Linked DNA regions of Arabidopsis thaliana. The protein of the gene in region 2 interacts with the protein of the main gene of each other region in a pairwise test. Each region holds a gene or a part of one and is shown on either strand. Other genes may lie near its edges.

The links.
Region 1: the proteins of AT5G58750 (region 2) and PRA1.B2 interact in a two-hybrid assay, tested with the Arabidopsis thaliana proteins (one large-scale study listed by BioGRID).

Annotation. Positions count from the first base shown.
Region 1 is NC_003071.7:16,863,927-16,867,474, forward strand, and holds PRA1.B2 (prenylated RAB acceptor 1.B2), read right to left. Parts: upstream 1,662-3,548; 5' UTR 1,450-1,661; coding exon 808-1,449; 3' UTR 520-807; downstream 1-519. Other genes in the region: AT2G40390 (neuronal PAS domain protein), read left to right, coding at 3,459-3,548. UniProt on the Arabidopsis thaliana protein: May be involved in both secretory and endocytic intracellular trafficking in the endosomal/prevacuolar compartments.
Region 2 is NC_003076.8:23,726,817-23,730,576, reverse strand, and holds AT5G58750 (NAD(P)-binding Rossmann-fold superfamily protein), read right to left. Parts: upstream 1,990-3,760; 5' UTR 1,692-1,989; coding exon 531-1,691; 3' UTR 435-530; downstream 1-434. Other genes in the region: AT5G58740 (HSP20-like chaperones superfamily protein), read left to right, coding at 3,049-3,097, 3,199-3,347, 3,462-3,510.

The DNA.
Region 1 (3,548 bases), on a different chromosome or scaffold from region 2:
TGTTTTTATCTCACATTCTCACCAATAATTAGAATCCAGGAAAAGATTTCACAAGACATTCTTAACATTAAAACCAAAGAAAAAAGATTTCACAAGACACAACTCATTCCACGAAAATATATCTCATGTTATGAAGATTAAAAACAGGTCACCTATATTATATCTAAGAAAGAAGCAACTCAGTGAGACTTTGACCGAAAAAGACAATTCAGGTGACCGAATCTTCAGTTTGTTTTTGGCAGCCGAGTTTTTAAGACAAAATCCCCAAACTAAACGTGTGTCGTTTTTGTCAAATTGGCCAAACATGTAAATCCAGTGGGAAACTTTCCCATGATATAACCCTCTTACTATCAGCAAATTCGTACACAGTATTGGCTGTTCGCTTTCGAGATAGAGGAAACTTGTGGAAGAATAAAATAGTTGGTAGCTAGAGAGACATAGACATAACTAGTTACAAGATTTACATCTACCACGTATGTTGTTAAACTACATGTTGTTTGTTTAATCCTTAATACTTTGGTCAAACTATAATCTTCACTGGTTTAGTCTAAATCTAACTCAAACATATGGTGATGAAGGCAAAGAGTATCAAATTGATTTAAGGTAAATGAGATCTTACAATACTTGAGAAGGATCAGCTCCAAATTTTCTAAATTGTGACGAAATTGAAGAATACAACACAACAATGCATCTTTAGATCTAACACTTACAGATCTTCATCGAATCTATACTCAAAACATAACTAAAAACCCTGAGAATCCAGGTTTCGTTTGTTCTCTAGGATCAGAATCATCAAATTCGAGCTTCTCAAACTCGTCCTGCAACAACAGAAGCAGCAGCAGAAGTAGCAGCAGAATTACCAATGAACGAGAGTAAACCAGCATTAGCAGGCTCTTGTTCATCCAAGAACAAATCATCAGGAACCCTAAACGCACCATGTAAGCAAACAATCGCGATTCCAATCGTTAACGCCGATGTTAACAAAGATCCAACACTCGTCATAAACACAACCACAATCGTAGTCAAAACAAGACCAAGCAAAGTCTCACGATCTGAGAAACTACGACCAAAGAGAACCAAAGGCTGATCTGAAGATCGGAAGAGGTAGAGAAACATCCAGGAGCCTAAGAGAGAGAGGAGGACGAGAAGCGAGAATGGATGCGAGAGGAGGGAGAAAGCAAGGACTAACGAGACAATTGCGGAGTAATTGACTTTGAAGTAAGCGAGATTCTTACGGATCCGGGAGAAGGAATCGGTGAGAGAGTCAGGTCTAGCGAAGGAGCTCCGATCTACGAGTTCTAGCCATGGACGGCGTTGAGAGAGGCTTTCGCGGAGAGAGGACGAGAGGCGTGAGAGGAAAGTACGGAAGGCGTGAGAATTGATTGGAGGTTGAGATTGAGTGGCTGCTTGCTGGTTGGTGACGGGAAGAATCGCCGGAGAAGAAGACATTATTGGTGGTGTCGGTGAGTCTGTGCGCGGCGGAGAGAGTGTGAATTTGTTGTTCCGATTTTAGTGGAAACTGAAGTTGCGGCAAAACCGTGTTAGATATTCTAAAGGCCTAAATTTTATGGGCCTATAATGTTTTGGAATAGGCCCAATATATTAAGTTGGAGTTAATAGCAATTTTTAGATGGGTCTATAATGTTGGAAGAGGCCCAATATATTCCACTATTGGTTCATAAAACCATTTTTTTTTTTTCAACAAACAAACAATCTTACTGGTTCAGTGGTTTGTATCTATATGATGTTACAAGGATAACACAACACAAACTAGTAAATTAGTGTAGTTAATAATATTCTAATTTTATTTGCAGATAAATTACGACTTCCTACAATTGTTTATATGATCATTTCAATAATTATCATCTCATTTCCCACCCTATGAGTGTTCTCGTTGAACAAATGAAACAATCATATGATCAATTGATCATGAATGATAAAGGTTTACTAAATATATCTATAAACTGTGAAATTAAATTATATACAAATTATGTACACTTGAAGCTAAACAAATTATGAATTATATACAAATACAAATTATATACATAAATAAATATGAATTATGAGTTATATATGAATTATGGTGTCTTGAGACACCAGGAACTTGGGGCAAAGACAACTGGAGGGAACTCGAGAGCATTTTTAAAGACGCCTATGCAACCGGTGGTGGAGACTACATGAAGAAGGGGGTGCAAGCGATAAAAGATGAGTTTGACATGATTGGGACAATCAAAATGAGATAATGAAAACAAATGGAGGTTTGCGGAACTTGTTCATGTTGAGATGACCGAGATAAATGAGGTTGACGAGAATAACAAGAAGGTAAAGGTAACATGTAGTTACTTTCTCAAATTCGTGGATGGAAACAATAAGATATTCTCACTCAGCCTAGGCAATGTTGAACTCAAACGTTGCACTATCAATTAGTGAACTCCAAATCTACACTATCAATAATGTGTTCTTGTTTTGCTTCGTCTAGCCAATTTATTTGGCATAAACACTTGGTGTTTTAATTTGGTTTTTCTAAAATTCTACTGTTGCTTTATCTAAAACTCTACTTGAGTTTTGTTTTGTTTGGTGTTTGCGTTTGCTTTTTGGAGTGTTTTCTTTTGAACTTTTGCTCAAGTGATTGATTGCTTTTTGGAGTGTTTATCATCGAGTCGTTAGTTATGTAGCCACTATTAATTAGTCGTTTGAAAAGTAGATGAAAATTAAGACTTGAGGAAATCAAACACAATCCATAATTTGAATTCACCCCGAAGATAATGATCAGCTGCTATTGTAATCGTCAGGCTTCAAGTGTATATAATTTATATTTGTATATAATTCATAATTCGTATTTATTTATTTATGTATAATTATTTGAACACACTCCATAATTCGTATTCGTATTTATGTATATACAAACACACTCCATAATTCGTATTTATTTATGTATCAAACATATAATTAGTAAACTAAATAAAGACGAAGAAACATTATTGAGTAGAATAGAGGCATCGAATAACAATATTCGTCGGCCTAATCAAGAATATTTCTTGGAAATTCGGGTTGAAATCCACATATGGAAGAATCTTGAATAGCACGTACTTTATCAATTTAATTACATCCCTCTTAACGGTCTAGCTACTCTAATTATCATCTAAACCTTTTTCCTTGTACGTTATCTCATAATTTGCAGGACTCTTAATCATTATCACATTTCAAATTTTCAATATTTTACTAAAGAGACGTCTCGTGTTCGTGCGTAGCTCTATATTTTCTGGTTTACGTAAAATAGTTCATGATTTTGTTTAGCTTACCTTTTGAAAAAAATAAGCGAATCTTTCTTCCTTTACTTTTCTTCCACTCATTAAAATGTTCTCTCTATATATAAATGATAAATCTAGTCTTCTAATCATATACTCTCTATACCACACATATCTAGAACAACAACTAGATATTCAATATTAGCTCTAATGGCTTCTTGTGACACACCTGATGCGTTTGCTTGGCTTCAAACTCTTCCTCCTCTTTCTCTATGGAAAGGAAATTTAATGTCCATGTGT
Region 2 (3,760 bases):
AATCCTTTTTGGTGATTCTTAAGTATGAATTGTAGTAAGTATGTGGAATGGATCAATCTTGAATCTTCTCTTCAGTTTTTACTCTCCCCTGTTTTCTCTTACTTGTTGGAATGATTCTTGATCTCGCTGAGTGAAGAGTGGAGACATGGGATGAAATGTCTTTACTCTTACGTCATCTTGACAGCCAAAACTCATCTGTACTACGTATGCAATAACATCGATAAACAAACTGAGTCCAGCTAATCATCTTGTTGTTGTCTCAAGTATGGTCTGCCACTACTTCATCTTATTATATGTCACAATACATTCACATTTGTTCGGACGCGTTTACGAAACCTGACTGGAATTTTGGTTATCCACTGCTTGGAATCTAACTTAGCTATTGCATTTCACTGCAAAGGATTTATGTTTAATGATTTAGCTTAAAAGGATTTGTGGAAAGCTCATTATTCAAACAAACAAAACTTACATGAGGATTATTGATCAAGTACATATATACCGTGATCTACATTGCTAATGTACAACATGTGTTACAAAGGAATGAGTTTTTCATCTCTCATCACATCAATCCAATACAAAACCGAATCTAGGGTTCTATATTTCCTCTTAAACCCAAACCTATCTACTTTTTCTCTTTTCCCAAGAAGCTTAAACGGACATCTAAACAGAGCATCCAAGAAATACCAATTCGCCAAATCCTCAATCTCTGTCCTAACAAGCTTCTCCTTCACAACAATCTCATCCCACACATGTTTTCTCTCAACCATCTCTCTCCCAAACCAGAAACCTTCATCAAACATGGTTGTTTCGTTAACTTGTACACCAAGTTTCTTCCCTATTTCCGGCCAAATCTCCTTCCAAGTAAACCCTACTCCATTAATGGCGTTAAAAGCTTCCCCTTTCTCGCGTACTTTCCCACTTGTTGCAGCGAATATATGCTGCTCCGCGACTAAATTCGAATCAGAGCCATCTATGTAACTCTCTTCCCAACATTCTCTTGTTCCTCCAAACACAAAAGGAAGATTCAAATACTTACACATCGCTCCATAAACACAAAGACTTCCCATGAAGTTGTACAGAGTTCTTGAAGAGCTTCCCATTAGCAAACCAGGTCTTTGAACCGACCAAACAACGGAACTACGAGTGATCTTCTCCTTCAGCAAGTCCTCCAAAACATAGTAGAAATTCTTCCCAGAGCTCTTTCTTGGACACTCCTCGCTGTAATAATACAAACTCGAACCTTCTCCACGAGCCATTGTCTCTTCCACCAAAGACACATAATGCTTCATCCCCGTTTGAAGCGAGAAATGCTTTAACCTCTTAGCGTTTGGGAGAATCGCGTCCAAAGCGTTCATCAGCATCGTCTTGTTCTGTACGCAACATTCGTCGGTATCCAATGGAAACTCACCAGACCACGTGACCCAAAACACGTGACTCACGATGTCTTGTAATGGAGACAACCTCTGTTTAGTCTCAGATGCGTTAAGCAGATCGCAGGAGATGAAGTTGTACATCTTCGTCATGGAATTGATCTCCGGGTTACGCGCTACGCCGTAGATTCTCCATCCTGGTTTAGACATTAATAGCGTCTTAACAATCTCTCGACCCACAAGCCCGGTGACGCCAAAGATTAACGCTACATTCTCGTCTACTTCGTTTCTTCTCATCAAGCTGCCATTTTCAGACCCCATTGTGATTATTAGTGAGTTATGGACTTTGATCAAAGCTTCATATAAACGCTTAGAGTAAAGACAAAAAAAGTTTGTGGGACTGATTCAACGTGTTTTAGGATAGTTTCAAGACTCGATGCTTACCTGTTTTAAAGGCTATGATAAATTATCCAAAGCAAGTTGCTTTGAACACAGCTACGATGTAGCATAACGAAGCAACATTTGTTTAAGATAAAATAGACTAAAGTCAAACAGTGTTTTGGGTTTCATGTTAACGTGTTTATCAATTTAATTTGTGGTTCTGGAATGTGTTACGAAAGCAACAGTTGTTACAATAGTTTTTTAAGGAACCGTCGTGTACAGCATTTTGTCCGGTTCTCAATCGGACGGTCAAGATTTTGCGAGAGGCAGAGTCTGGCCCGTGGTTGCTGGCCGGCTTTTAAAATTATAGTACACTTCAAGTGGGTCTCTACTCTAATAGTATTCATTTTAGTTAACAGTCTCACCGGTCAAAACCGAATATTAGCCGACAACTTATTCAATGAACTAGTTATATATACACTCGTGAGTCGTGATGATTGTTTTTTCATAACTAGAACTCATGTACCCGAAACCAAACCGATTTGAGATCTAACTGTCGTTCGATTCATGCAGTGGCCAAACATGTATCATATCGAATTTCATCAAATGAAACAAGTTGACCAATGGAATTGAGAAAGTAAGTTTTTGGATTAGCGAAATGGAAGACCATAATTTACATTATCAAACAACTTTTTGATTGATCAAAATTATTCTTCTGTTATAAGTCAAAGTCTTTGATCACGTATAACGTTTTAATATGAGAAAATTGAATAACTACCCTGTCTACGTTGAAGAAACTGAAAGGGGGAAATGGGTACAGTGTATCTCTTGTCCCAAAGGACATTGAAAAGCTAAAAAACTAACACACTTGGCTACGTTTAAGGCTTTAAAATGGACCATGTTTTGTGGTAGACCTACACATTACTCTTCTTTCAATTTTGTTTTCCTCCGTATTCTATGCATTGAATAGACCCACTTCTCATCTTTAAATTTTCTGTGGAATTGTGAAAGAGTGTTCTACTTTGGCGACAACAAAAAAATGTTTCTTGGAACTTGGAAGAACTTCAATAAAACGGCATGGAGTTTTGACTTCCAAGTTAGAAACGGAGTGTACCTCAAGAAAAGGGATCTAAGCGTAAATAACTAAAACTAAGAACCCTAAAAGAAAATACATGATTATGAAAGGACTGAATCATAAATGCCTGTCCTCCAATGTTGAGACGAATTGAAAAGGAACCAGAACAACTACTATCAACGGTGATCGATTTCGCCGGGAACGGAGAAGAAAACCCTAGATATGGCGGAGAAGCTTGCGCCAGAGAAGAGACACGATTTCATTCACAATGGTTTCTCGCTTTCTCTATCCCCTCGCTCTATTTCTCTAATTTCAGCTGATTCCATTTCACGAGATTTGGTTTGAATGTTCTTCGATTTCCGATGGTTATAGGTCAAAAGGTATTTGAGTGGGATCAAACCCTGGAAGAAGTGAACATGTACATAACTTTGCCGCCAAATGTTCATCCAAAGTCATTCCACTGCAAAATCCAGTCGAAACATATCGAAGTTGGCATCAAAGGCAACCCTCCCTATCTCAATGTCAGTTTCTTTCGCTATCTTTCAATGTTTTTGATCCGTTTGTCTCATAAATCTGAGTTATTCGATGTGGTATATATAACTCGATTCAATTGTCTAAATTTTGTCAATTTTCAGCACGATCTTAGTGCTCCTGTGAAGACTGATTGCTCGTTCTGGACTCTAGGTACTCCATTTTTTGTTTTTGTGTCTGTATTGGGTGCTTGTTTTTGATGGTTAGGTTTCTGTTTTTAGACCCGTTCACTATTGCTAGAGAGGATAAACTGAACCTGGAAATGTGATCTGAGTTTGGTATAAATAGTGGGACATATAGTTTGGAATGTGGAAAATTTGAGACTAATGGAGGGATGATGGAATGTACAGTATATTTTGGGTTATATTATCAGCGTATGTAAGTTACTGGCATAGTTTTTTTA